4 linked regions of the Elephas maximus indicus genome follow. The protein of the gene in region 1 interacts with the protein of each later gene in a pairwise test. Links are inferred from orthologs where the notes say so. Each region holds a gene or a part of one and is shown in the gene's direction. Other genes may lie near its edges. The genes, in order: PPL, ZSCAN1, RAB3IP and VIM.

Region 1 (7,158 bases):
AGCTCTGAGCGGGCTTCCAGAGCACAGAGGGGGCAGGGGTGGTGGAGAACAACTCACATTCCTCCTGCAATGCTAGTTCTCCCCATCTCTCAGCTGCCCGAAGCCTGTGAGGTGGAGGGTGGAGGCACGCGGGGGTCCAAGACCTGGGATGCTGCAGCAGGCTGACACGGGGGCTAGCCCAGCTTGCCACTGCACTCCACAGAGCCTTGGTTCCCTTCTCTGGGAAAGAACACAAGAGACTGACCACCTCCCAGGCGGGCAGCTGGTCTGTTTCACCCCATGTGGGGCACTGCGGAAAATCTGTACCCCTGGGCAGGTTGGCACAGGCCATGTCGCCTGGCCAGAGTCAGCCCTCCATAAACGACGTGACTATTATCAGTGTCGTTCCTGTTATTCAGCAGCTGAACTACGGGCCCACTAACCTGGAGATCTGTGGTCTGGATCCCTCCCCAAAACTGACCTTCACCTTCCTAGGAGGTATGGGGAAAGGAGGTTTGGAAGTTTCAACAAGTCTAGGGTTTGGACACTGTTTGGAGCTCCAGCAAACTGCTTGTACCCTTCAGTCCCACAAGCTTGTAGTCTTCAGCTACAGATCTAACTCCCTCCCATTGGTCTGAGCCCTAGCTAACTGCCAGGGGCCATGCTGAGTGCTTAACACACAGGATGGTATCCTATGAGGTCAAGGCTACAATTGCACCCATTCCACAGACGGGGAAAACTGAGGGTAGAAGAGGCAAAATGCCTTGCTTACCTTCACACAGCTGACCAGCACTGGGTTTTTCTACCCAAGCATTTGAACCCTGATGAGGTTCCCTTCTTCCCTGACTCTTATGCTGGTCGGCTTTATAGTTGTATCTTTGCCTCTGCCCCTGGACTATCAGTAACTTGACTCAGGCGACACTGGGTTTCTGGTAAGAGTTACGGAAAAATTCGGAAACAGATAATGATGATGGTTGTACAACATGATGAACACAAGTAATGTCACTGAGTTGTACATGTAAAGAATGTTGAAATGGCAAACGTTTTGTTACATACATATTTACTTCAATAAAAAGTGAAAAAAGCAATTCATTAAAAAAATCATATACATGATTATAAATAAAATGCAAACACCATAAAAGAGTACACAGTGAAAATTCACATTTCTCTCTTATCCCTTCTGAGGGGAATCGCAGCTAACAGTTTCTTGTGGATCCTTTCCAGAAGTTTTTTCTATGCGTGTACAAGAATAAGGCACACACACATATACTCCTTTCTCTCTCTCTCTCTAACACAAATGGGAGCCCCTTATGCACTCTTTGGCACTTTGTTCTTGCACTCGACTATATATATACGTGTCTGGTGAGCGTTCCACATTAGGCTATCATTCTTCTTCAGCTGCAGGGTCCTCCCAGTGTGGAAGCATCCTGGATTATGTAATCAACCTCCTCTCTACACTATCAGATTGTTTCCAGGGCTTCCTCCTTAGCTATAATGTGACAGCGAACATCCCTGAAGGTACACTTAGTACCTTTGTGAATTTAGCACCCAGTGGGAACCCATCTGTAGGGAAGTTACTCCCAGGGAGAAGTAAGAAAACGGTTTCCAGGCAGCGTGACAGCATGGGCAAATGCAAGGGGACCAGCAAGATTCCCTCTGAGCCCGTCCCTGTGGCCCATCTGGGGTGCAGGAGAAGGGGTCCATGTGGGTGAACAAGCTCTGTGATGAGTTTGACTTCTGCGGGTCCCGGTGGGCTGACCACCCCCTCCACCCATGTTTGGAAATACCTGCTCCCAATGTCAGTTGGCTAAAGGGAGCATCCCCTAGGTGCCCTCCAGCCCTTGTCTGAACCTCCACCTCAGGAAGGGAAGTTACTTCAAGCGGAAGGAATTGCTCAAGACTTTACCTGCCCTAACAAACTTCCAGCTTAGAAGGGAGCCAGGCAAAGCCAAGTTCAGAAGGGAGTGACTAGAGAGAGGTTTGGTGGGAAGCTCGCATCAAGGTCCCTGCCTGAGTGGCAAGTGGGCTGCAAACAGAGACCCTCACTCCCAGTTTCTCAGAGCGAGGCTGCAGACTACCAAAGAAACCCATGAAAAGTTCAGATTCCCTGGGTGGCACTGAGTTTCTGTAAAAGGTGATGGGAAAATTTGGAAAGATAGCACAATATTATGAAAGTAATTGATGTCACTGAATAGTACATGCAAAAAAACAAAAAGTTCAGATTCCTGGGCCCCTCCCCAGACTGCCTCTATCAGCACCCAAAGGAGCCAGGACCCTGGAATCTGCATTTTGCATATTCCCTGGGGATTCTGATGCACAACAGCTCAGAACCGCTGCCTAGTTGGGGTCCTTTCTCCTTGTTCGGTTCCCATGTTTCTGAAAAGTATATTAACTATTTGAGTGTTTTTTTTTTTTATCATGAGTCCCCCCAAGACTGAAAGCCCCTTGAGAGAAAGACCCCTTTTTCTGTTTTGTGGTTTTCTTTTCTCATGTAGCAGAGCCATGCACAGAGGGTGGGAGGGCATTCACAACTATCCCTTAAGAAGCCAATGTATGAATCCAGTGAAGTGATAGACCCTTCCCCAGAAAAAAGCACACATGGACGGACATGCACATTATGCAAGCAACTTTAGGGGAAATGCAGACCCCCTCAAGTCCACCCACCGATGTCCCTTCAGTGGCAGGGGCAATAGAGGGACTGAAGAGCATCCAGTGTCTTTAGATGCTCTGCAGTCTGGGGCAGGGAGGAACCTTGGAAGTCAAATTCCCCATCGACATCCTTAATTTACAAATAAATACATGAGGGGAGGGACTGAGGACTCACACTAGTCCTGGGCTGAGGCCCACCCCCTCCCCCAGGCCCCAGTGGGCCTCCATACTCCCCATCTGACCAACAGCACAGCACTTTGGCCATAATTTATCCTGCAGACTTCTGGAGTATCCCCCTGGAGACTGTGTGCTTGAACCTCCCAGTGTCCTCCAGAATGGTGCGGAATCCTCCCAGCTGTTAGGGCCCCACTCGGGCTCCCTGCCAGGCTCGGTTTACTGTCTGCCCAACTGCAGCCTTCTTCACTGACCTACAGTCTAACCTGGGCACACGCTGGCGTGGTCTAGCCTAGGCACACACTGGTGCATGGCCTCACCCAGGCACACACTGGTTAGGTCCAGCCTGGACACACAATGGCAGAATTGTGCAATATGCCCATTCTGAACCAGAATCAAGCAGCTTTTAAGACCAGGCATGAAGTACTTCTGTCATGCCAGGACCTAGAGTTATTAAAGTTTCAAAGGACTTTTTGTCTGCCCTAGATGGCATGATGAGAAGCAAAGCAAAGCTCCCTGCACTTGGCTTCGGGCCAGGCACCGTGTCTGGGATTATCTGCAGGAATCCCCTCACAACACTTTGGGAAGGGGCCGTCTGTTACCACTGTTTGCCAAATAAGGAAACTGAGGCAGCCGAGGGAAGATACCGGCGAAGCGGTGGCCAGTTGTGGCGGCAGGATTTGATGTGGCGGCAAACCTCAGAGCCGCTCGTTTTCAGTAGCCTCTCCCTCCACTGCGCCCATTAGAGTGTAGTTCTCTAGTTATAAGGGCTGGGGAGCCCCCTGAGTGTCCAAGTCAAGCGCGGGGGCGGGAGGGGGGAGGAACAAGCCAGGCGAGGGCTCTCAGCCGGGGCGCGCGCCAGGCCTGTGGGTGCTCGGGGAAGCCGGTCTGTACCACCCTCTGGAGCCCCGGACTCGGGTGGGGGTCTGGCCAAGACCCAGCGCCCCTCTCCGCAGGCCCCAGCCCCACTCGCTGGGCCTGGATGGAGGCTGGGCGCCTGCCTCGCGGGGAAGCCCCGCCCACCGCGGCTTCTCCTCGGGGAAGGTAAGCACCACCTTCGCGGGGAGCGGCCGGAGCGCGAGTGGCCGGCGGGCGCCCCGCCCCCTCCGAGTAGAGCTGGCGCCGCCGCGCGCTCGCTCGCTCGCTCGTTCGTTCGTTCGTTCGTTCGTTCGTTCGGTCCGCAGCGCCCTCACCTGCGCCCGCAGTGTCGGTGCGTGCCGGGCCGCCAGCCCTCCCAGCCTTCCCGCCTCCACTGCCTGCCACGATGAACTCGCTCTTCAGGAAGAGAAACAAAGGCAAATACAGCCCCACCGTGCACACCAGGAGGTGAGGAGGCGCTCGCTGCGCCCCGGGGCCCTCGGAGCCCTCCAGCCGCGGCGCGAAGTGAGGGCGCTCTGGGCCGCAAGCCCCGCCCGGGCGCGGGGCAACGGCGGCGCCCTGGGGGCATCTGGGGCGTGGGGAGCACGCCCCGGAGGCCTGCAGGGTGAGACACCAGGGAACACGGGCCCGGGAGCGTCCTGGAGCTGTGGTGGGGATGGGGGTGGGCTGGGGCGCCGAGGGGGCCCGATAGGTGGCCCTAGGGAGTTCTAGAATCCTCGGAGCACGATCTTGGGGCCTAGAGGGCGGGGAACTGAGCTGGGCACAGGAACACCCGGGTCCTGGGGTCGCCCTTGAGCCCGGCGTCGCCCTTGCGCCCGGCGTCTCCCTGGGCCCTGAAGCACCGCCGGGATACGGGTGGGGGTCCGATGACGCTACACCAAGGCCGGGGCGCCGGAAGCACCGTGTAGGGGACGCACAGGGACAGGGAGATTGAGCAGGGGCGTGGGGGGCGCGCCCAGCGCTTCTTGGAGAGCGCACAGGTGCTCCTAGCGTCGGGGAGGCTAGGCGGGGGCGGCGCAGTGGGGGAGCCACCTGCCGCAGCACTTTCCCGCACCTGCCACTCTGCACTCAGAGCCGCGCCCAGAGGAACCGGGTGGGTGTGGGTCGGGTGGGAGGCACAGGCTGAGGGACACCCTCCAGCCTCCCGGGGGTCGGGGGTCTGCGCTGCTGCAGGGGGGCGCCGGAGTCCTCCTCGCCTCACTCTTTCTCAGAGGGTGTGTCCTTCTTTCCGTCCCTCGAGCCAACCCTGAAACTTGCAGCGTCTCTGAGCCGCGGGTTCCCAGGCAGCATGGGAAGGGAATAACAGGTCTTGATGTGTTTGCGTTGAGTCGGCGGCCCACATCTGTTTTGACAAGCGTTAATATATTCACTTAATAACCGGTTTGGGGGAGCCTCCTGGAGATGCTGAGATTGAGGGAGGGGGTGCGACTCTGGCCCTGCCTTTCTCCCCTTCGCCCAGGGAAAATGGGCTGGGGGCTCCTGGCTGTGAGGAAACACTTTCCCAGCTTCTCTAAACTAGGGGGAAGGTAGGTGGGAGATTCAAGGGCACAGCCCACCTGACTGGGAATACCACTGCAAAGTACCCTCACTGTGTGGCCCCTACTGCACCCCTGAGCAGTCCCTCAACCCCTCCCCAACCCCCATGTGAAGGCCACAAGAGGGCTCTGGGCCCTGGGCTGGCACCTGCCCCTGTGGTTCAGCCCCGAGGACCTGTCTGACAGGTGCAGGTGGGCCTGGGCACTTTGATTCCCTAGATTTCCAGCCCTTTCACAAACCCCACTGCCCTGGCCTTCCCACCACCCAGTCTGTTTGGGCTGTTTCAAGTTCAGAGGCAGTTCTTCCCCACCCCTTCGATGTTCCCCTTCAGAGCCACCCCTCATATGATCTTTCACAACCCCAGAGACTGGGTGGGGTCCTTCCCACTGTTCCTCTGTGGCCAGGTCCAGCTGGCACTCAAACTGGGCCTGGGGTCTGGTCCAGTCCCCGTGCTGTTGATGGGCATTGCACAATCAGATACGCTGTGCCAGCCACGAATGGCTGTTCTGTCCCCCCCCACCCCCCGCCACCACAAGACTCAGGCTCCTCCAGTCCTTCACACATGCACACACCCACACTCATGCACATGTGGGGAGCTGTATCAGGCAGGGCCTACCCTCTGCCTCCCACCTCCCAGCTCTCCATTCGTCCCCCGAGGCCTGAGTTTGGATGCCTGAACTTGGACACAACAAAAAGTTATAATGAACCCAGAGAAGCTGGGAGGGGCTCTGGCTTTCCCGGGAAAGGGTAGAAAGGAGGGCGTCCTGTCCTTTACAGCTGCAGGGACATGGGGTCCTGCCCTTGTCCCTCCCCTCCTTTACTCCTGGCTGGAGGAAGCCGCCTCTTGCCTTGGCTGACATCCGTTGGTTGGTCCCCAGATCTCAGCTTAGGTTTTTTTCTCCAGGAAGCCTGCCCTGATGACTCTGCCCAGGCTAGGGTGAGACCCTTCCCATGGGCTCCGCTGGGTTCTCTGTTACCCCTGTCCCAGCACTGAGAATGAGAGCGGTCCTAGCCCTGAGTAGGTTCTTGGTCCTTCCCTGTATGGTCTCGCCAGCCCTGGGCATCCCTCTGCTCCTTCTTCTTGGTGGGAGTCGAGTACTCGGACCAGATTGTAGGGTGGGACAACACTTTGTCCCCCTCTCCCAACAAGAATCTCTTAATCGGTACATACTTGGTTCCAAGTGCCAAGTGCCACATGAGGGGCTTGTAGCTCTAAGATGTGGTCCCTGGTTAGGGTGAGCTGACCCCCAAGGTTTATTTTTTAAATTATCTTAAAAAATGTTTGTAGTGTGGTAAAATATACATAAACTAAAATTTACCATTTTAAACCATTTTTAAATTGTACAGAAACTTGGTACCCATTTAAAAATAACTCCCCACTTCCTGCGCCCCCCAGCCCATGGCAACCACTAATCTGTTTTCTGAGTATAAATTTGCCTGTCCTGGACATTTCATATAAGTATATTAGTATAGTCATATAATATTTGTCGTTTTGCGTCTGGCTCATTTGACTTAGCGTAATGTTTCCCATGCTCTCCCATGTTGCCAATGTATCAGAACCCCATTGTTTTTTATGGCCGAAGAATATTCCATTGTATAGATAGACCACGTTTTGTTCATCCACTTAGTATTTGATGGACATTTGGGTTGTTTCCACCTTTTGGCTATAGAGAATAGTGCTGCTATGAACACTGGCATACAAGTGTCTGAGTCTCCAGGTTATTCTTTCACCCTGACTTTTCTAGGGGTCTCCTCCCTGGTCTGGGTGAGGGTGGGGCTGCTGCCGAGATTCGGCAGGGCATGGTATGTAGGAGCTCCAGCCCTGGGAGCAGAATGCCTCTGACCCCAGCTTTGCTACATCTGCTTGTGGAGAAGTCATGGGATCTCTCTGAACCCCAGTTTCCCCACCTGCAAAGTGGGGCTGGTGATAATAGGTGTCTC
Region 2 (8,066 bases), on another chromosome or scaffold:
AGGGGCTTCAAAGACAGAACGAGAGAGAAATAAAGCAGTTTCAGCAAAACAATAACGAATGTTGGATCAAGATGGGGAGTACAAGATAGTCATTGACTGTTTTTATGTATTGTTGAAGCTTTTCACAATTAAAAAATTTGAAAAATGCTTATTTATTAGGCTATAATTAAATAAATAAATTAAACCTTGATAATAACAGGTTTTTGTGAAAATGTGTAAAATTTGGAACCCCAATCCATGGAGAGTAGAAATATAAAATAGTGCAGCCACTTTGGAAAACATTCTGGCAATCCCTCACAAATTAAACATAGAATTACCATAAAAAAAACCCGTCGCAGTCGAATTGATTCCAACTCCATCATGACCCTGTTTGACAGAGTAGAACTGCTCCATAGGGTTTCCAAGGGTATAACCTTTACAGAAGCAGAGTGCCACATCTCTCTCCTATAGAGTGGTTGATGGGTTCCAACTGGTGACCTTACATTTAGCACCTAAGCTCTTAAGCACTGTATCACCAGGCTCCAGAATTACCATAAAACCAAAAACCAAACCTGTTGCTGTCGAGTCGATTCCAACTCATAGCAGAGACAAGAGTAGAACAAGACAGAGTAGAACTGCCCCATATGGTTTCCAAGGAGCGCCAGGTGGATTTGAACTGTTGACCTTTTGGTAGCAGCTGTAGCTCTTAACTGCTAAGCCACCAGGGTTTCCAGAATTACCATATGGTCCATAAATTCCACTTTTAGGTATACACTGGAGAGAAATTCAAACCTATGGGCTCAAACATAACAGTGATTGAAAGGATGGTGCAGAGCCAGGCAGCGTTTCATTCTGTTGTACACAGGGTCACTATGAATCTGAACCCACTCCACCGCACCTACCAACAGCAACATGTCCCAAATATGCTGTTGGAACATTCTTATACTAAAATATACTATTAGTACTTAACTTAGTATTCAGTATAACCAAAGAAGTAAAGCAGAGGGAGCTAAAGCTGTCATTGGGACTGTGCAGCACAGGAAGTCCCATCCTCCACCCAATTCTTGCTGCGCTCCCAGAAAAGCGTGGACAGTTGCCATGGTGACCAAATCCCAATTCCAGGGTAATGCTAAGAAATCTCTGGAGCGAGACGACCTAATTCAGGCAGCTTTTATTGGTTGGGGCAGCTGTGTTTGTCATGATCCCACCCCCACTAGGGTATCCCGGGGCTCCTGGGTGGGGCGGTGGGCCAGCGCTCCCCAACAGGCCGAAGGCAACAGCCCATGGAGCGCGGGGTTCCGGGAGTCGCAGTCCATCAGGCAGCTACCGGGTGATTGCACATGCCAAGGTGGCGCCGTGACTGAGGGCCCAAGCAGACCCTGCGTGCGCTTTAGTCTGTCCGCAGTCAGTACTTCTGGCAGTCAGTGCGCCTGTTGGCCTGGCAGTCCCAGGGAGGAACCCAGGGGCGGATGACGGGCGTCACGTCGGCAAGGGCGGTCTGGGGCTCACGGTAGAGAACGCGTGTGGAGATGAATAAGGCCCTGGGCCGTGGTCGCTGCCCGAGGCTGGCGGCGCCCGGGTCGGCATCCCGAGGTCCTTCGCGGGACCCTGAGGGGAGAGAGGAGTTCCTGACATGGGACCCTGACGGATGCGGGGAGTCTTAAAGTACAGGGAGTGCTGAGGTCGATGTTGGGAGTGGGCCGAGGGCCATTTGGCAACCCCCCACCGGCTTGAGGTAGAAAGCCCCCGCTGGTCTGTCCGTTCAGATCCCTCTCCAACCGGCCCCAGCAGCCCTTCTCCCACCCGCTCTGCAGCCCCTGGGCCCACTCGCCCATCTCCCACCTCCCCAACTCATTTATCTGTCGCTTCCTTAGTGAGCAAACCCTGCTCAATCCTTTTCTCCCACAAACCTCCACTCCCCCGTTCTTCCCCCACACTCATTTATTTATTCAACGACTATCTCTTGATCATCTATTAGGTGGTTTGGCTGTCAGTTACCAAGCCCTCACGGGTCCCCCTTTCCTTCATAGAACTTGAGGTCTCTGCCACAGACCCTAGTGCCTACTCCAGGTAGACCAGCCCTTCCACCTAGCTTTGAGCCCTTTACATGACATTCAACCAAAAAACCAAACCAAACTAATTACTGTTGAGTCGATTCTGACTTATAACAACCCTATAGGACAAAGTAGAGCTACCCCATAAAGTTTCCAAGGAATGCCTGGTGGATTCCAACGGCTGACCATTTGGTTAGCAGCCATAGCACTTAACCACTACCCACCAAGGTTCCAAACCCAGGTACCCCCCAAAGTGGATCTCCTGTATCCCTGGACCACCGCAACAAATACTACGTGTGCCCCAGAACCTATTCTATATAGACCTCAGACCCACTCCACATCGGTCCAGGACCAAACACATTGGCCTGGGACCCCCACATCAACCTAGGATTCCCCACATCAGCCCAGCACCACTTATATCAGCCTAGGACCCCTCACATTGGCCCAGAACCTCCACATGGGCCCAGAACTCCCCGTATCAGCCTAGGAAAAAAAGAAAAAAAACACTGTAATGGAGTCGATTCCAACTCATAGTGACCCTATGAACAGAGTAGAACTCTTCCATAAGGTTTCTAAAGCTGTAAATCTTTACAGTTGGAGTGGCTGGTGAGTTTGTACTGCCAACCTTTTGGTTAGCAGCCAAGCACTTTAGCCACTGCACCATCAAACCAAAACCAAACCTGTTTCATGGAGTCGATTCTGACTCATAGTGACCCTATAGGACAGAGTAGAACTGCTATATCAGCCCAGGACCTCCCAAAAGGACTTCAGCTACCACATGGACCCTAGGAGCTGTCCCAGGCCTCCCAAAGAAGTGCTGAGGGGCTACAGCTCCAGAGAACATTTCCCTGAGCACCAGACAGGGAATGTAAGCTCTGGGACCCCAGAGCAGAGGGGACTGCTCCAACCTATGAAACTACAAAACATGCTTTTTTTTCTTTTTCCAAAAATACATATAAATGAAAGTGTAAAGCACAAGAGAGTATTTTTGCTTGTAATCCCCAATGTGCAGGTGGGGGAAAGCAGACTCACAGGCTACAGAACACACCCCCCTCATGAGTCGGCCTTTCTGCCTGAAACAACTCTCCTTTCTTTCGGATTATAAAACCCATACCTGGTAACTGTAGAAAACATGAGCCAAAGCATCAGGAAGGAAAACTCACGTGGAATCCTCCACTCTTCACCTGTTATAAGCATTTTCCCATATTGTTAAAAGTCCTTCCTAAAAATTTTCTGGTTTTTTTTTTTTTTTTCTGTTGATAAAGGTTACACGGGGTCATTATACAATTTGGGGGAGATTGACAGAAGTATGAAGAGCACCAGGCACTTGGCTTGCAACCCTGGGGCTTCTTTTCTGGCACCCCTTTGCAGAACTCTCATATATTGTCCCGCACCCTGCTTCCTCCCCTGCACCTCACCACTGCCTTGAGTGTGTTAATGGGATTAACACTATTTTGAACAGTTGGATAATACTCCATGACATAATAGGAAGTAATTGACCCCACCAGGTTTGACTGTTAGGTACTTTCGTAGTAAATTAGGACCTTTCATAGTAAATTTTGGTGCCTAAATCTTTGTCTGCATTTTGGCTAAATTTCTCAGCGTCCAGAAGGTTTTTTGTATACAAGCTGCTCCAGTGCTTCTAAGGAGCCCTAGTGGTGCAACGGTTAAGCACTCAGCTACAAACCAAAAGGCTGGCGGTTTGAACCCATACATTGGCTCTGCAGGAAAAACCCTACAGGGCAGTTCTGCTCTGTCACATGGGGTCACTATGAGTCAACAACCAGCTCGACGGCACCTAACAATACCCAGTGCTTCTGTGCCAGCTTATATTCTCACCAGTGAATGACCCCACCCTGTCAGCACAGGATATAAGCATGTAGTAAAATCCCTGCTCATTTTATGTTTATAACTTGTCGTATTTCGTTCGGTTGTGATATATTCACCATAGGAAGCTTGGAAAATATACAAAAGGTTATTTTTCCTTGCCCTTCTAGCTTTCCCTCTGCTTTTAAAGTCTCTTTCCTCCAGCCCCTCCTTGCCCTCCTTGCTGCTCCCATCATCAGCCCCAACTTGGCACATGAGGCAAGGAAGACAGCAGCAATAATACCCCAGGGGCAGGGGGCAGGAGGCCTCTATTGCATTGCCCCTTACATGGCACGAGTGGCTATTTTCAAATTAAGTAAAATTGAAAATCCAGCTCCTCATTCAAGTGCTCGGATGGGGCAGTGCAGATGGAGCACATTGTTACCTATACAGAAAGTTCCATGGGTAAGCGTTGCTACTCCACATGTCACGGCATAGCCCTTGGGTAATATCAGGTTAAAAACCACAATCGCAATTCTTTGAGAACAATGTCCATATTGTCCCCCCTTTAAAAAAGCCAAACTCGTTGCTGTCGAGTCAATTCCAACTCATAGCAACCCTACAGGACGGAGTAGAACTTCTCCCTAGGGTTTCCAAGGAGCAGCTGGTGGATTCAAACTGCCATCCTTTTGCTTAGCCAACAAACATTTCACTGCTGTGCCACCAGGGCTCCATATTGTCCCCAGCTCCTCATAAATGTTTGTTCAATGATGAACTGAGGAGGAGGAGATACTAAACGAGTAATGAAATAAAATGTGTTCAGAAGAGATGGGCGCACTATGAGGGTGGAGGGACAAGGATGACAATCAAGCGGCCACGTAGAGGAAGCTCTTCCTGCAGTGGTGACATCTGAGCTGGAATGAAAAGCAAGTGCAAAGGCCATGCGGTGGCCACTGGCTTGTCCATGGCCAGGTTAGATGGGAGTGATGCGGACAGGGCCTGGCTCAGTCCCTGGGGGCCTTGGCGGGGGGGGCAAAAACGTAGGGTACTGAGAGGTTCTAGAGCAAGGTTACCCACCTTGTGATGTGGTCTCTCTGCACTGGCACCTCTCTGCAGGCTCCTGACTGCTGCCTGTGCTTGTTCAGAGCCATCGAGGCCACATGCCCTGTGGTCAGAGAGATGCTTCCACTGGCGAGAGGCTTTGCCTCTTGCAGGAGCACCCAGACCCCAGCACCAAGTGAGAAGGATGGGGCAGTGCGGCCTGCCAGCCCCGGGGATGCAGAAGCCTGGCGCTTATGCTTCCGGCAGTTCAAGTATTGCACGGTGACTGGGCTGCAGCAGGCACTGAGGCAGCTCTGGACACTCTGCCACCTGTGGCTGTGGCCCGATACTTGCTCCAAGGAGCAGATCCTGGAACTGCTGGTGCTGGAGCAGTTCCTGAGCTCGCTGACCTGCAAGATGAGGTCCTGGGTGCAGTCACAGGGCCCCCAAACCTGCAGGGAGGCCACCAGCCTGGTGGAAGACCTCATGCAGATGTTCCAGCAGGAATGTAAGAAGCCACAGGCTCGGTGGTCCCCAGGGACTGGCTGACCCCCAAAGGCAAGTGGCTCCAGGAGGAAGTAGGAGCTGGGGTTTGGGTTCATACCAGATGAGAGCCCCGCGTCTTTCCTGCAGGTGGCCCTTGGGTAGTATTGCCATCTGTCTTAGTTCTCTAGTGCTGCTATAACAGAAATACCAAAAGTGGGTGGCTTTAACAAACAGAAATTTGTTTTCTTACAGTTTAGGAGGCTAGAAGTCTGAATTCAGGATGCCGGCTCTAGGGGAAGGTTTTTTCTCTCTGTCGGCTCAGAGGGAAGTTCCTTGTCTCTTCTCAGTATCTGTAGGCCCAGCGTTCCTCAGCTCCTTCGTAATCTTCATGTGGCATGGCATCTATCTTCCCCCATCTCTCCTTGCTTGGTTGAGCTTAATCTACTCTTTTTATATCTCAAAAGAGATTGACTTAAAACGTACCCTACACTAGTACCGTCTCATTAACATAACAAAGAAAACCCATTCCCAAATGGGATTATAACCATAAGTATAGGGGTTAGGGTATATAACACATTTTGGGGGGACACAATTCAATCCTAACCACCATATTAACAATATTAAGTTAGGCCAAATGGGGGTCCCTGGTAGTTCATCTGCGTGGTAACATCAATACTTCATTCTTTTTTATGGCTATAATAATAATATAATAATATAGCATAACATATTATGTTAATTATAATCATAATCAACTATTAGCTGAAAGGTTGGCAGCTCGAACCCACTCAGAGGTGCCTCAGAAAGGTCACAGCCTTGAAGACCCTGTGGAGCACCATTCTACTCTGCACCCAAGGGGTGGCTGTGAGTCAGAATCAACTTGACAGCGATGAGTTTGGTTTGGTTTAGTTGTTTGGTTCAAAGTGGACTTCCAAGAAAAGTTTTGGTTTGAGGTTTAAAGTTTAAATATTATTTCAGGGCAATATTTTAAGGGTTCATGCAGCCTCAATGGCTCCAGAAATTCTGGATTCCATTGAGAATTCACCAAAATTTAGTAGCTTCTTTATTCATTAAACACTTCTCTGACTGTGTAAGTTTTTCATTAGAAGAAGTTACTTCTGACCATTTTGTCATTGCTTTAGTAGAGGCATCGGAACGTTGGAGTTCCCTATTGTGCTATTTTTGGTGACATCACTACATCAGATTATTTCTGTTTGCTTTTTTTTTTTTAATAATAGTCTTATTGAAATATAATTCACATGCTATAAAATTCAAGTCAGTAGTTTTTAGTATATCCACAGTTATGCAACCATAACCACACCACAGCCTAATTCCAGAACATTTTCACCATCCCCAAAAGAAACCCCAACTTCATACCCATTAGCAGACACTCCCCATTCCTCCCTTCGCCCAGCCCCTGACAACCACTAATCTACTGTCTGTCTCTACGGATTTACCAAACCTGGGCATTTCACGTCAATGGAATCCACGAAATGTGGCATGCATGAGTAGAACTGCTGCTTAGGGTTTTCAAAACTATGACCTTTCAGAAGCGGATTGCCAGGCCTGTCTTCTGAGGTGCCTCTGGCTGTGTCAAAACCACCATACTTTAGGCTAGTAGTTGAGTGCTTAACTGCTTACACCACCCAAGGATTCCTTTGAAAACATTATGTTCAATGAAAGAAGCCAGACTCAAAAGGCCACATTTTGTGAGTTGGAATAGACTCGATGGCAACTAACAACAGCAGCAACGTTTTCAAGGTTCATCTATGTAGCAGCATGCATCAATACTTCATTCATCTTATGGCTATAATAATAATATAACATATTAATATATTATGTTAATTATGTACAAAAATGGCATAACAGGGGCATCACCTGACCTCCTCCATTTTTACAAGGGGGACGGAGAATCAAGATCAACAGCCCAAGGCTGATTCCTACTCTGTAGAGGTCAGACATGCTTCCTCTCCCCATCGTCTTTCCCAATTCTGACACTCAGCATCCCTCCCAGGGCATTGTCTATTTCTCTGCTGAGTTCGATAATTTGTTGCAGTGGCCACACAGATCTCAGACCATACTCACATTTACGGGGCTTATTAGGGAAGGAACAGGTAACAGTTCAGGTTCAGGAATGCTCAGGATACAGATCTTCCATCAGGACAACCTCTTCTCACCTGTGCTTGCAAGCACGCCTCTCTGTGGCCCCTCGGCCTCTGCCCTGCACAGGCAAGTGTTAAAAAGCACTTTTAGCTCTGCTGATAAATACTCCAAGACACCCCACTCTGCCAGTCAGCCTTGGCAAGAAGCAGTGGCAGAGAAACAACAGCAGCAGAACCAGGAGACTGGCAGGAGATGGTGTGGTGGGCTTCCCAGCTGACTGAGTGAGAAAGATGAGTGCCTTCAGGCTCCGGAGGCTTGCTGGAGGAGTAGGGTGCCTCTGGGCACTTGGTGGAGGCTAACTTCCTCCTCCCAATCATTTTACCAGTCCAAAACAGTCACTAACAATTAGCCCTTCAATAGGACAAAGAGCCCTCAGGGTGAGGTTACTTAGTACCAGTCATTCCGGCCTGCTGCACATGTCCACCTGATTTAGTCAGGTTCGCCAAAAGTCATCTCGGCTTCATTCTTCCTGGTATCCGATAAAATTTAACTGAGAGATTATTCCCTTGGTCTGAGCCTCCTAAGGTATCAGGATAGCAA
Region 3 (7,404 bases), on another chromosome or scaffold:
CTCACGGTTTAGGAGGCTAGATGTTCAAATTCAGGGTACCTGCTCTAGGGGAAGGCTTTTTTTCTCTGTAGGCTCTGGAGGAAGGTCCTTGTGTCTTTGAGCTTCTGTCCCTGGGAGATCTTCATGTGGCTTGGCATGTCTCTTCCTCTATCTGTGCTTTTCTTGCTTGCTTGTTTAATCTCTTTTGTAGCTCAAAAGAGACTGCTTTAAGACATACCCTACACTAATCCTGTCTCATTAACATAACAAAGAAAATGCATTCCCAAATGAGATAATAACCACAGATATAAAAAAACCAAACCTCCCTGGAGGGGAGATGGGACGGGGTTAGAAGCTGGCAAAATGGACAGGAAAAGAGAGAGTGGAGGGAGGGAGCAGGCTGTCTCATTAGGGGGAGAGCAATTGGGAGTATGTAACAAGGTGTTTTTTTTTTTTTTTTTACAAGGTGTATGTAAGTTTTTGTGTGAGACATTGACTTGACTTGTAAACTTTCACTTAAAGCACAATAAAAATTAAACAAAACAAAACAAAAAAAACCAAACCTACTGCCGTCAAGTCCAACTCAGAGAGACCCAGAGAAGAATGCCCCATAGGGTTTCCAAAGAGCAGCTGGTGGATTTGAACTGCCGACTTTTTGGTTAGCAGCCAAACTCTTTTAACTATTGTAACACCAGGGCTCCTACATATATATAGGTTTTCTTTTCTTTTTTTTTATATAGGTTAGGATTTACAACACATACATTTGGGGGACAAAATTCAGTCAATAACAGTGTTCTGGCTAATTAGGGTCAGTTAGATCACCTACTGGACACTGCTACTTACAGCAGTACTTCCACTGCATACATTTGGCACATGGGCTGTACATCTTAAATTAAAAATTTTTTTTTTTTTTAATATTGTTTAGTAAGTGCATGTATCTCACAATGGTTTTCAACCCTAATCAATATGTAAAGAAAATAAAAGCCAGCTGTGGTGAAAGAGAACTGAGAATGAAGGAGCATGCCTCCTGCCTGTGATATGCCTATGATATGCCCCAGACCTGTCTGAAGCACGTTTTCATGCATCATCAGTTTTTGTGAATAATCCGTAAGTGCATGAAAACAAGACATATTCTTCCTGGGAAAAGGGCTGTCCACCTGAAGATTATATTTCCAGACTCACTGAACCACTACGTGTTTTTCTGACAATGTCTTTGTTCTATTTGTATGTTCTATTCATTACCATTTATCTCTCATCCAAAGCCTGATCTCAGATGTTGAACCAGAGGTTGTTAGTTGTTTCCAATATCTGTTTCCTCCTTCTTCTTTAGAATTAGAACCATTGATTTTTGGCTGGAAACATGGTCACCCAACAGAAACTACATGATTCAACATTCCTTGCGGCTAAGTTCTGACCAATAGGGAGTAAGTGTAGTGATGTGTAAAACTTTTGCAAGTGTCCTTAAATAGAGAAGTATGTCCCTTTCTGCCTTCTTTAGGGGGATGGATTAAGAATGTGATGGTTGGAACATAAGCAGCCATCATGGGCCATAACACAGAAGCTCATGTTCAGGATGGTGAAGCACACGGTAGCAGCCTATGTCCTTGCTGATCATACTGTCACCAAACCAATCCTGCATTGCCTACACGTATATGAGAGGAATAAACTTCATTTAGTTTACCAAAACCAAACCCATTGCTGTTGGTTCCAACTCATAGTGACCCTGGAGGATAGAGGAGAACTACCCCACAGGGTTTCCAAGGCCATAATCTTTACAGATGCAGATTGCCACATCTTTCTCCTGTGAAGCCGCTAGTGAGTTCAAACTGCCAATCTTTAGATGCTTAATGACTGTTATTTTGAGATTTTGGTCATATATCCTAACTGCTACAGATGCCAACTCTTCCATGAAAATGTACTGTTTAGGGTAATTTTCTAGCAGGCAGTAACAGGAATTCATCAAAAGATATTTTAAGCAAAAAGAGGGAATTATTTAAGGATATGAGGATGCACAAAATCATAGGCAGGGATGTAATTAAACCTCAGGAATAGGCCAGAACCTGGGACTGAAACACTGTAGGGAAACCAGGAAGTTGTATTGTTTCTCATCTCTCCTCCTCCTTCCTCTTACTACAGATTATTTATATGTCTGTCTTAGAGAAGCAATAAATAAATATTTGTTTAAATGGATGGCAATTTGTGTAAGTGTGTGTGTGTATGTGTGTGTGTGTGTGTGTGAAAAACTGGCTCTGAAGCCAATTCTCAAAATGTTTCCTTATACATGAGTTGCTTTTGGTGGGAGAATCAGAGTGTCTAGTCTGCCACACCGCTGGACACAGCAGTTCAATCTGATTTTTAAAGAGATTTTAAGTTCATTTGTTTATAAAGTATTACCCAGCATTTTGAAAACTAAAGCCTTAATTCTGGAGGTCTAAGTTCCCATCTGTAAACATGAAGAATAATTCTGTCCACCTACATGAAATTGTTTTTTTGTAAGGGATCTATGAAGTAGTTAATGTGAAGTCAGTTTGAAACTGGTAAGTACCATGCAAATATACACTTTCTTAACTTTGAAAACAAAACAGAGGCAAAAGCAATAAAAAGTTATAACTAAGGGTAAGAAAGATTTGTTCAATTTTAAAGTTCTAAATCTTTGCATTCATATCATGTTTTCTGGCCTCAGGTACAGATGGGAAAATATTATAATTAAAAAATATTATTTTATGTGCTGTATTTAATATTGTATAATTTATTTTTTAATGAAAGGGAAAGATAGTCAACTACAAAATCTATCACTTTGTTTTCAAAGCGTGTGTAGTGGCTGTCCCTTTAATATATGGGTAGGCAGTCTAACTTAGAATGTTTACACAACACTTTATACATTGGGAAAGCTGAGCTTCTGAGTGCCTTACATTCTGTAATGTCTCTTGGTCTCTGTACTCCAGGGATAATGAAGTGTTATTACAGGAAGTACTCATATTGCTCTTCCCACTCTCAAACTACAATAACAAGTAAGTGAGAGGACACACCCCCAAGTACATTCCAAACAGCCACGTGTATGGTAGGGGATTTGCAAAGGAACCAACACAGGATACAGGCATGTAGTTATTAAAATTTCTTGTAGACTCAGGATATCTAGGTCCTATGTAAAACACATCACAGGGCCTGTCCTCCATAAAGTGTACCCTAAATGTACATCATTCAGTCATACCTCATTTATTGAGCCATCCTACTACGTGTAAGGCCTTGTGCCTGTTCTCTTAAAGCTCATAGTCTAACCCACTGCCGTGGAGTAGATTCCCACTCACAGAGACCCTGTAGAACAGAGCAGAACTGCCCCAAAGGGTTTCCAAGGCTGCAATCTTGATGGAAGCAGACTGCCACATCTTTCTGCCCAGGAGCACCACCATTCCCACTTTTTGGTTAGCAGCCAAGTGCTTAACCACTGCGCCACCAGGGCTCCTTATGAGTTATGTACTAAGCTTTAAATCATTTATTTTAACAACGGCCCAGTGAGGTAGGTATTCTTATCCCTATTTTTAGGATGACAATATTGGGGCTCATAGAAATTAGCTTGCCCAAGGTCATGCAGCTTGTAGGCGGTGAATTCAAACCCAGGAATTCTTATTCCAATAGCCATACACGCAGTCTACTTTTCTTTGCTGCCTCTAAGAGATGTGACCAATATATAGAAAGATAGTCCTGTTCAATAAGTGTATCATGTAAATTGCACGTATCTGTTTTACTGAACACGGAGACGTATGTAGTGATTGATTGTTTTGGGAGCCAGGTTCTGTCTTTTCACTTTTGCTACCTGGAGGACCTGAAGTGTGTGGAAGTTTGATAAAACAGGTGACATAAAAGATGAGAGAAGGGAGGTACAACAGAAACGACATTCTCGAATGCTTCAGCAGTTGCTGGAATGATGGGATCTGGGTTCTATCAGAGAACCCTCCTCCCCCTCCTCCACACAAACTGTAAGGATATATGGGCGCCACTCGGCTCGGGTTGGTTCTAGCAGTCTTCAACTCACAGCTAAGGTTCCTTTTCCGACTCCTGTCGACTCCAACGCCTCCGAAGTTAACACGAGGCCACTTTTCTGGCCGTAGGATACACTGCTTCGCGCCGATTCGCGTCGGTTCCCAAAGAAACCGCCTGCGGAGGCACCTGGGCACAGGCTGCACCTGCGACAAGCCCCGCCTGGCGCCAGGGGGCGCGGAAGCGCGTCGGTCCCCCGGCCCCACGCCCGCCCCGCCCTGTCCCACCCCGCCCCCAGCCCCGCCTTCCCTCCGCGGGGACAAGCCGCTCCCGGCTTCGCTCCTGGCGCAGGCGCAGTCTCGCATTCTCGCGCCGACTCCCAGCGCCGTCCCCGCCGCGGCGGAGAGTAGCGGGCTCGGTGCGCTGTCCTCCTCCGCCTTTTGCTCCCTCGGAGTGCGCTCTCTGCGGCTCTGCGAGCGTCCCTGAGCGCGGGCAGCGGCCACCGTGGGTTCGTCAGGTGAGTGCGGTCGCGGGAGGGAGAGGCCTGGGGCGCGGGCGTCGGAGCACCGCCCCCCTCAGCGCCCGCGCGCGCCTCCCGCGAGGGGCGGCAGGTGCAGGGGCCGGCGCGGCGGAGGGCGCGGCGCAGGGTCCCGGCTGCCCAGCCGGCCGCCCGGCGCGCCCCCCGTCCTTGGCAGCTGGGTCCGAAACCCCAGCGGCGGTGGGGAGCTGGGCGTCCCCTGGGGCCGCTGGTGGGCGTCGAGCGGCGTCGGCCCGCCCCCAGCGCCTCGCAGCCGCCGCTTGCGTCCCCCGGGCTCGGGCGGGTTACTTATTAACTGCGCGGTTCCGGCGCCCGAGGCGGTGAGCCCGCAGCCTGGTTACCTGTCGGCGCACAAGTGCGGCCGGGAGCTGTGGACGCAGGGTCACCGGGATGGGCGGGGGTGGGGGGGTGTGAAGAGAGTTTTCGAACAAGTCGGAGCACATCACAGCCCGGGATTCCGTGCGGGAGCTGCTGCGGAATGACGCGGGAGCTGTGGACCCGGGCTCTTTCATTCCCGAGTCTTAGTAGGTGACGAGCGAGGCACGATGCCGGGGCGGAGAGGTCACTGCGAGAGGCTTCTGTGAAGCCTGGTCGGAAGGAGCGAGCGCCGGGAGTCGCGCCTCTGGAGGCAGCTCAGTTCAGCCCGACTTTTGTTTCGGGTAGTTGAGAGGAGCTGCACAGACGTAGTTACGCCGTCCTTCCAGCGTTGACAGTTTGCCCCGACCGCCCGCGGAAGACCGAGCTCAGTGGGCTGCAAGAGTGATGCTAGGTGCAGTCTGCAGCACGTGAAAAGTTGCCCGTTTTTATGATATTAAAAACCAACCAACCAACCCCCTCCCAAAAAAAAGACAACGAAAACTCATGGCTAAAGGGTAAGATCTTCAAAGTTAAAAGCGCTGAGTTAACTGATTCCTGAGAGGCAGACGATTTAGTTCCGTGAAAATGTAGCAGCCACCGACTCTACCTGTTCCACGCTCTTCCGTTACCCCCCAACTCCTTCTCAGTGTTGGTACAGAGCCATGTAATCTTTTGCCATGGAGTGATGACTATTGGAGGAGAGGCCGATAAGAGGATTAAAACAAACTGTTCTACTGTAAATCTGTTGAAAGACCCAGTTTCTGTTTATTATCCTCATTTTGTTGTTCAGCAGTTTTGGTTTTGTTTTTTAAATGGTGAATGACAAATCAAGGAGAAAAGAGGCAGAATCGATTTGGAGACCAATCGTAGTCAATACTTGGTACTGTCAAATATTCCACCAGTTTTATGGGGCTGTGTTCCGGAAACGTTTGTATATTTTCTAGTATTGCGCATTTTGATAGGGCTTTTAATATTTTTTTTTTAATATTTGGACAAATACTGTATTCTCAATATAATGGTTTATGTGATCTAACTCTGAAGCCCTTGTGGAATTTATAGAAAAAACTTAGTGATTATCCAGTTTTACTATAATAGTGTATTTCTTACTGTTAGAAGAAAAGCCTTTTTAATTTTTTCTTTTTCCATTACAGTAATGTTATATGGTAGTGTGTACCTTTGTGAGACAAAGTGGGTACATTGATTAAAACACTTCCTTGTATGTTTGGCAAAGAACTCATCGGTGGTATTGAATAGCTCTAAACTTTCACCAGGATGGATATTTGATGTTGAGCTGCTTTGTGTTTTAATTAGATCCAGTTGTACTTTTTGAATTAGTGTAGTTATGCAAATACTTCTTTTCCTAAAACATTCTCTTTCTCAAATTTTCCCTAAACCTTCAATTCCCAACATACTCTACAAATAATTTTTGAATTAGAAAGGTTCTTAGAAATCTATTTTACCCCCTCATTTTTTAATATGGCAGAACCAAAAATTGTAAGTTACAGTAGTTTTACATGTATTATAGTAGTTAATGTATGTTTTTTTCCCTTCTGAGTTAGATTCACTGAACAAATTATTGAGCCAGCCAAATGAAAAATTATTAAATCTGTCTATAAGTTTTAGCTCCATCACTTGCTATACATATGATCTTGAATAAGTCATCGCACATCTCTGAACTTATTTCTCTTTTAGTAAATGGGAATATTAGGTCACACTGTGCGACATTGCTGTTATTCAACTATTTTTCATATGGTTCAACCTAATATGAATTTCATAATGGTGCATGCGATGAGGATTAAATGAGACACTCCATGTGGGAGGTGGGTGGGAGGGAGAAAGGAGGAACAGATGTTAGCTTGACTGTGTGCCAGGTGCTGTGCTTCCTGCTTTAAGTACCTAAACTCCTTTAGTCTTCACAGCGTTCTTGGAATATAGGTGGTGGTAATGCATTTTACAAATGAGGAAACTAAGGCTCAGGAAGGTGAAATAACTTGCCTGTGGTTACCCTGGTGGTGTAGTCATTAAGTGTTAATGGCTGCTAACCAAAAGGTCAGCAGTGTTAATCCACCAGGCACTCCTTGGTAACTCTGTGGGGCAGTGCTACTCATTGCTGTGAGTTGTAATTGACTCGATGGCAGTGGGTTTGGTTTTTTTGGGTATGGTTACTTAGTTCTTGGTGGTGAATGGCAATGCAGGGATTAAAACTTGGATGTGACTGCCCAAAATGGAACTCAACACTCTTGCTCCTTCCATCCTGGTTTACACTTTCTGTAAAAGAGCTTTGTAAGTATAAAAAGGCACATAGATGAAAGGTGTTTATCACCTGTATTTCTGGTTAAAAAATACCCTAGTTTTCTGATGATGGTGATATCACTGCCACTACCAGTATCGAAGAAAGTCTGGTGGGGTAGTGGTTAAGTGCTGCAGCTGCTAACCAAAAGGTCGGCAGTTCATATCCACCAGGTGCTCCTTGGAAACTCTATGGGGCAGTTCTACTCTGTCCTATAGGGTTGCTATGAGTTGCAATTGACTAGAAGGCAATGGATTCCTTT
Region 4 (7,820 bases), on another chromosome or scaffold:
ATATGGAATGGCTTGGATGTGAGTGACAGCAGCATAACAGTGGATACAGGAAGCAATGGGACATGTATCATATCATGATACTCTTTGGATCTGACCAATATAGTATAAGGAAGTGGCAAGATGATGAAAGTTTCTAATCTTGGTGGTTTGCTGAGTTGCCCTTAATAGATAGGGAAGTTGGGAGGGGAAGCTGCTCTGGTTGGTGGGTTTTAGGGTGTGAGATGAGCTCAGTTAAATTTTGGATCTAATACTTCTGAACAGGTAGAAAGGAATCTAGGTGAAAATGTTTAAGTCACAGATGAAAGTCCAGATTTCGAGCTCAGGTGAAAATGAAACCCCCTTCTTATCCAACCATTATGGATCATTGCTACATCATCTGCATGACACAAAACATTATATTCTGAGTGTCTGCCAAACTCTGCTAAGAATCTTCTCTTACCCAGAAAAATCTGTATTAATCATTCTGGAACACAGTAGCCCCCTAATTAGTATTTGTGAATTGAATTGGTTGAGAGTAAGGAAAATTTAGTCATTAAGGACAGGAGAAAATACAGGCATTTAGAGTCAGAAAGGCCTCAGTTCAAATGTTTGTTCCCTTTCTCCCCTTTCTTGCCCCCTTACTAATTACACGACCATAAGTTATTAACCTGAGTCTTAGACTTACCTGTAAAATGGATGACCAAATCTATCTTGCAGGATGCTGAGAGAGCATTAAACTAAATATATATGTACAAAGTGACAGTCATTCAGTAGGCACAAAAATTAAAGCAGCTATTATATTATTTGGAGCTCTGGTGATGTAGTGGTTAGGAGCTCAGGCTGCTGACCAAAGGTCAGCAGTTTGATTCCTTGGAAGCCCTGTGGAACAATTCTACTCTGTCCTATAGGGTCGCTATGAGTTGGAATCCACTCAGTGGCAATAGGTTTTTTGGTTTATTATAATACTTATTATCTTTATCACCATGCCTTTTAGGTTTTGCCAAATTTTTCACCATGTCATTTCATCCACCGTCTCGCTTCTATCATTTCATCAGACAATCCTGCTAGAAGTTGTCCTCGTGGCCTGGCGGCCTGTGAGCCAGATTCCCTAAAGCTTCCACAGGACACTAAGCTCCTCTTCGCATGGCTGGCTGGTCAGTCAGTGCAGATCACCCAATTCAGCTGACATCACCACAGCTTGCAAATCCCCAAATCACTGTTAGTACTTTAGACTTAGACTGGGTAATGTTTACGCCTGGCTTACACAGTGTACCACTGGGGCCTCATTTATACACAACTTGTATCATGCAATGTATAAAGCAGCTTCATAGCCCAGCCTTTAAAAATACTTCTGAGGTAGGTTTTCATAGCCATCAAAAAATAAATATGAAAACTGAGAAAACTATGCTTACATACTGTTTACTTCCAAAAGGTAACTAAAAACAGAGGTAGAATATAGGAGGATTAGTTACCATACGTGAGGATGTTAGTTCAGATATGTATTTCCCTCATTGATGACTATCACTCATTGTTTTAGGCACTGTGCTAGGCACAGTATATTTCGTCTAAGAATGAATTTAATTCTTTCCAAAGTTTCACGTATACTACATGAATGAGTAAAAAAGTTTTTGCAACCTTCACCTCTCTATAGTTCATCTGCAAATGATGAAAAATTTCTAATAAGATGGAAAATATGTATATAATATATATTTGTTGTTGTTAGCTGCTGTCCAGTCAGCCCCCGATTCATTGTGACTCATGCCAATGTGATCAGACCATTGTGATCCCCAGGGTTTTCACTGGCTGAGTTTTTCAGAAGTAGATCACCAGGCTTTTTTTCCAAGTCTGTCTTAGTCTGGAAGCACCACCGAAACCTGTTCAGCGTCACAGCAACATTCAAAACCTCCAGTGGCAGGTAGGTGGTGGTCGTGCATGAGTTACATTGGCCAGGAAATGAACCCATGTCTCCTACAGGAAAGGTGAGTATTTAATCACTGAACCACAACTGGTCCTCATAATAATATACACATACGTATATACACACACATAATATACATACACACACACACATATGGCAAGTGAGCACACCAGCTGTGGCAAGAGAGTAGCCTAGCACAGCCCTGAGAATACAGAATGGGGACAGCAGTGGAAGGAGAAGGGACACCCCTCAGATTACCAGGAACACCAGGGCCCATCCCAGAGGCAGTCACCACAGCCCTGAGGAACGAGTTGTGGGCACAGACAGGGCACACTGCCACACCACACGAGAGCTTTGCCCTCATTTTCTGTAGTGAGTCAGTCAGCAAGCATCCCTTGACAGCGCCAGCCACCACATTGCCCCGGGATCAGCATTTTATGTAGGAGTAAGGCCCACCCTTTCTCCCCCCTCCACCATAGAGAGATTGCTTTTCTCATCCTAAGGGTTCCAGGCAACCTCACAATGGCGACATTTGCTGAGCAGAGGCTTGAATAAAGGGCTCTCAGAGAGCAAGATGGGAACGTGAAGCACAGGCTCCTCTGCCAGGCATGGAGTCCCAGGAATGCTCTTTGGGAGTGACCCCAGCCTCCCAGCGAATGAGGGAATAAAAGAAAGCCACAGTAGGAGTGCTGTGCAGGAAAGGGTCCTCGGCTGGACTTTGGCACTGCCATTTGCCAGAGCTAACTGAAATGAGGTAAACAAAATATTGCCTAGAAGAAGCATAGAATAAACCCCTTCATTTGGCTCCAAACCGTTCTTCTTAAATGCCAGGTAACCTTCAGTATTCCCCTCCCCCCACACACACACAAAGAGAGAAAACTTTCCTTTTTTCCCCTACCTATAGCAATATAACCAAGGTGTTTCTATTTTTACAGTGGTTCTGAAATTAATCTTTTCAGTACTCCCTAAGTATCATAAGTACTCAAGAAAATGTCGATTTTTTAAATTGCTACTTAATCACAAGAAGACTGGTTCCCCTTTCCTCCCTTCATCTCCTTTGGGTGGTAACTATTCTGTGTTTCACTAATATTGAAACAATAGCCCCTTGAGTTGAGTTATTTACCTAGAAAGCTTAAGGTGATGGAATCTCTCCATGTCATGGACCACAGCTTTATCTCTCTCACTCCAAGACCAAAGGCACAAATCCTCTTCTTGACAACAGACCACAAGAATTGGTGACATTTCTCAGACAAGTCCTCAGAATTCTGCACTGCGCAGCTCTGTCCTAAAATTAACACATAAATCTATTTTCCTCAAACATTCTGTCATTTGAGTTACATAACTGCCTTTCATTTGATCTCATTAATCAAATTGGGGGTTTAAAGCAACACCTAATTACTTCTGTAATTGGCTCAGATTATACCGTTAATGACTTCTACTACAGCAGAAAAAAGCAGTGATCTCTCAATTTGATTCTGAAACTATGTACGCCGAATTTCCTCTTTTACCCAGAACCTGCAGATCATTTTAAAAGTCGGGTGTGGTTTCATAGGGGGAGGGGGAAGAGTGAGAGGAGGCTGGAGTGAAGGGTGGGAGGGAACTTTTTAAGTAAAGCTATCACCAACTGCCCGGAGACCCGCAGTTGGCGACTCTCCAAGGTCTGCGGAAAGTTCCTTCTAAAAAGTGCGCACATTGGAACAAAATCACGATTTGGCGACTTCTTAAAAATAAAGGGTGCTCTTGGCTCCCCCACGGCTGGACCGTACACATCAAAGCGACCGCCGAGCTCTAAGTGGGGTAAGATTTAGAACAAAACACTGAGCGTGGGGCCCGCGGAGACTTAAGTCAACCTCGTCTAACGGTTTCCCTCGAACTGCTAGGCCCCCTAAACCTCTACCGGCCAGCAGGGCGCAGTGAGTCACCCTCAGTGACTCACAGACCCCGCCCCTCTTCCCTGGGCTTGTCTCGGCCACCGCCTCAGCCCCGGCCGTCCGAAGCCGGACGGAGTCCGTTAAGTCCCTGCACAGTACCCTCAAGACAAGACGAAGAAAAAAGACGAGGGTCCTAATTGTCCCCCCTTTCGAAGCGGGCAGCGCGCGAGGCTCCACAGGCCCAAGTCCTGCGTTCTCCGCTGCGCGCGACCCCACCCCACGCTCCAATTTCAGGCGCTCTTTGTTTCTTTCTCGCCGCCTCTGGATATGCTCGATCCTTTACTCCCCCTCTTCCTGCTCCTTTAGCCGAGGGTCTCTCCCCCCACCGGCTCCCAGTCTGCGCAGCCCTGTGTCCCAGCGCCCACCGCGCACCCCTCCCACCAGTGCGCCTCCTCCCACGTTCCTTTGGCGTGGTCCCCAGGACCCTTCTTATCCAGCCCGGGGCGCCTTCCCCAACCACCGCGCGACCCCCGCCTTTTTCGGCACCCAGGGGTGAGCAGACCTCCGGCAATTACGAGGAAAGCCCCCAAAGTCCTAGCCAAACTTAGCAAGTAACGGGACCGTGCCCAGTCCGGTGCTGCCAGGAGCCGGGAGGAGAAAGGCTTGAGGGCGCCCCCGCCCCAAACCCCCGCCCACTCCCCCCTCTTCTCGCCAGGTCCCCATTGGCTGGCGCGCTTCGCGGCTTGGATGGCAGTGGGAGGGGACCCTCTTTCCTAGCCGGGTTATAAAAACAGCGCCCTTGGCAGGGTCCCGTCCTCTGCCACTCTCGCTCCCGGGTCCCCGCGCCAGAGACGCAGGAGTGCTCCCACCGCACACCCACCGCGCCCTTGCTCGCCTCTCCTCCCGGAGCCAGTCCGCACAGCTGCAGCCGCCCAGCCCACCGCCACCCTCCGCAGCCATGTCCACCAGGTCCGTGTCCTCATCCTCCTACCGCCGGATGTTCGGCGGCCCCGGCACCGCAAGCCGGCCCAGCTCCAACCGGAGCTTCGTGACCACGTCCACCCGCACCTACAGCCTGGGCAGCGCGCTGCGGCCCAGCACCAGTCGCAGCCTCTATACCTCGTCCCCGGGCGGCGTGTTCGCCACGCGCTCCTCGGCTGTGCGCCTGCGGAGCAGCGTGCCCGGCGTGCGACTGCTGCAGGACTCGGTGGACTTCTCGCTGGCCGACGCCATCAACACTGAGTTCAAGAACACCCGTACCAACGAGAAGGTGGAGCTGCAGGAGCTCAATGACCGATTCGCCAACTACATCGACAAGGTGCGTTTCCTGGAGCAGCAGAACAAGATCCTGCTAGCCGAGCTCGAGCAGCTCAAAGGCCAGGGTAAGTCGCGCCTGGGAGACCTGTACGAGGAGGAGATGCGGGAGCTGCGTCGGCAGGTGGATCAGCTCACCAACGACAAGGCCCGCGTGGAGGTGGAGCGCGACAACCTGGCCGAGGACATCACGCGTCTCCGGGAGAAGTAAGGAGGAGCCCGGGCCACTTACGGGGGTTGGGGGGCGACGTCCGGGCAGGGCCGCGGGAAGAAGGGGGAGGGGAACGACGCCCTCCGAGGGGCTGCCACGCCCTTGGGGCGGTGGCGGCACGGGATTCCTAAACTCAGACCTTGCAGCTAGCATTTCCCCTTTGCACGCACTCATTGCCCAAGAACGCTCCGTTTCAGGCAACGGATTTCATAAAACTAAAAAAAAAAAAAAAAACCCACTTTGAAATTAAAGGCACTTGATAAAGATGAGAGTGGTTCGTCCAAACTTTTAAGAAAGTTTCCTGGCCCCTCCTGGCGGGCTGCCAGTAATGGGGCCGGAAGGAGGGAGGAGAGGATAGCTGTGGAGAACGCGAGACAAAGGATGGCCGTCTCCTCTGGGGCGGGAGTGGTGGCGTTTGCTTTGCAGGTCCTAGTGGCGACTGTGATTGCTTTTTCATGCTGCGGCCGAGGTCCCGCTAAAACTTGCCGAGGGCTGCAGTTCTACAAGGGCTGCAGTCGCTGGCTGCCGGCAGAGGCGGCTGTTGTCTCGTGGCGCAGCGACGTGGTGGTTGGGTGCGGCCGCCCTCCCCTGGCGGTTTCCCAGTTCCCCTTGGTTAATATGCAACTGTTTCAGGTTGCAGGAGGAGATGCTGCAGAGAGAGGAAGCCGAGAGCACCCTGCAATCTTTCAGACAGGTTTGTAGACTTCCTTCCCCTTCGTCGGCAGCGGAACCACCCAACCAACCCACTGGCGATTCTAAAAGTTACTTAGAACTTAAGTCCAAAGAGTGCAGAAGTTCACGTCTGTGCATACAGCCCCCTAGTGGTAGAAAGACCACAAATTGGAGCTTTTCCAGCTAAAAACCTTTGAGGGCTTTACCCTTTCTTTAGGACATAAATAAAGTCTTTAACTTTTTACTTTGTTTCAAGATTTTTTTCAAGGAAATAAAGACATTTCTTTCTTTCTTTTTTTTTTTTTTTTTGGGAACGCACTGACATTGTGATTTTGAACAGTTACAGTTTGATTTAGATTGTGGCTTGCTAAAGTTGGCCAACTTTTACAAGGCCACAAAAAGCGCAATTTATGCCCTGTAGTTTAAAAAGTAAAAGGTGTCGGAAGATGAGAAACTTAGTTTGACTGGCATGAAGCCAACAAGTTTCCTTTCTTTGCCAGTTCTATTGTGGCGGTAAAGTTAGGTGGAAGTATCGCTATGCACAACTATTTTGTGATCTAATAAGGGTGAAAAGGAGCCATCTGTCCTCTTGGCTGAAGGCTATTAATGGTTTCTATGGGATTCACTATGGAATGTAGATACAGACATTCTGCAAATGTGGTGGCTTTGGACGGAAATAATAGGAGTCTTTGTGTTCCCAGAGAAGCTTTGCAACAGGCTACATTCTTATTGAATATGTAATGATGTAAGCGCAGTTCTAATTGGACACAAGTATTTGCTAACATCGTGATCTCCGTTATCTAATACCTGGCCCAGCTTGTGAAGTATGTGATGTGAAAAGTTTTTAAAGCTACAGTCATACATCAGATTTTGAAAGGCCGTTATTGGCTTCTTATATTCTTTAGCACTGCCCACAAAAATAAAGAAGAAACCTAAGGCTGATGAATACAATTTTAAGTAAAGGATTTTTTTTTTCTCCAATGTTATAGTGGAAGGAATTTTAGCTTAAAATTAAAACCAAGACGATTTCCCAGCACAGTTTATTCTCCTGAACACTTACTGGAATTGGCTGTACAAGCACTCTAAGATGAATAGCCTAGGATGATATTTTGAAACTGAAATACATTTGCCAAATTAATTTCAGTGCACAGCAATGTGTGGTATTCATTGTAGTCATTGAGCATTTATGACCATACCTGTAATGTCTGCAGAGTACTGAGTTAATATAAAGTAATATTAATATAAAAGTTCCCCTCTTTAGGGAATAAGTAAAATTTCTCACATTCTCTTCAGTGGAGTGTCACATAGAGCATTTTGTAGAGGTTAGTAAAATATCGTTTATATCTGTTTTCGAGATTAACAGCAAGCTAAAATGAAATTGTTTCCAAGTTGGATCTTTTTGCTGTCACCCATTCTTCATTCACTTTTCCATGAAAGTGATACAAGTGTCTCAGTATTTTAAGACAATAAGGCTATAAGTTGTATTCCAAATATAACTGCCTACAAGTTAAGGTATATAAAATCCTCATGGAATCCCTTGGGAGAAATAAAATCTTAGTTTCAAGAGTGTGCACTTTGATTTAGAATGTAGCGGTTTGCAAACATTGGAGACCGAGGAGAGCAAGATCAGCAAGAATTCTTCACATGGTTTCATTATATACAAGTGTTTTCACCAGTCATTCTGAAAAAAGCTGAGTAACTGACTTGACCGGGGCGAGTAAAGAGGATGGGCACACCGTTATAGGATGAGTCAAGGGAGTTTCAGGACAAAAAATCCACCAGAGAAAGCAAAGCGAATACAGTTCAGAGTTCCAGGCATTTTCCTTACTTGCTTGAGCTGTATATTTGCAGGTGC

Evidence for each region.
Region 2: the proteins of PPL (region 1) and ZSCAN1 interact in binary tests that used the Homo sapiens proteins (3 or more experiments, as listed by UniProt). The two-hybrid records come from large-scale screens. The link is inferred for Elephas maximus indicus from reciprocal best matches to the Homo sapiens genes PPL and ZSCAN1.
Region 3: the proteins of PPL (region 1) and RAB3IP interact in binary tests that used the Homo sapiens proteins (3 or more experiments, as listed by UniProt). The two-hybrid records come from large-scale screens. The link is inferred for Elephas maximus indicus from reciprocal best matches to the Homo sapiens genes PPL and RAB3IP.
Region 4: the proteins of PPL (region 1) and VIM interact in binary tests that used the Homo sapiens proteins (3 or more experiments, as listed by UniProt). The link is inferred for Elephas maximus indicus from reciprocal best matches to the Homo sapiens genes PPL and VIM.

What each region holds. Positions count from the first base shown.
Region 1 is NC_064830.1:63,028,589-63,035,746, reverse strand, and holds the start of PPL (periplakin), read left to right. Parts: upstream 1-3,918; 5' UTR 3,919-4,066; coding exon 4,067-4,128; intron 4,129-7,158. UniProt on the Homo sapiens protein: Component of the cornified envelope of keratinocytes. May link the cornified envelope to desmosomes and intermediate filaments. May act as a localization signal in PKB/AKT-mediated signaling.
Region 2 is NC_064829.1:87,803,470-87,811,535, reverse strand, and holds the start of ZSCAN1 (zinc finger and SCAN domain-containing protein 1), read left to right. Parts: upstream 1-5,018; coding exon 5,019-5,424; intron 5,425-8,066. UniProt on the Homo sapiens protein: May be involved in transcriptional regulation.
Region 3 is NC_064822.1:130,924,150-130,931,553, forward strand, and holds the start of RAB3IP (rab-3A-interacting protein), read left to right. Parts: upstream 1-4,380; 5' UTR 4,381-4,474; intron 4,475-7,404. UniProt on the Homo sapiens protein: Guanine nucleotide exchange factor (GEF) which may activate RAB8A and RAB8B. Promotes the exchange of GDP to GTP, converting inactive GDP-bound Rab proteins into their active GTP-bound form.
Region 4 is NC_064822.1:39,613,091-39,620,910, reverse strand, and holds the start of VIM (vimentin), read left to right. Parts: upstream 1-4,570; 5' UTR 4,571-4,726; coding exon 4,727-5,289; intron 5,290-5,926; coding exon 5,927-5,987; intron 5,988-7,820. UniProt on the Homo sapiens protein: Vimentins are class-III intermediate filaments found in various non-epithelial cells, especially mesenchymal cells. Vimentin is attached to the nucleus, endoplasmic reticulum, and mitochondria, either laterally or terminally.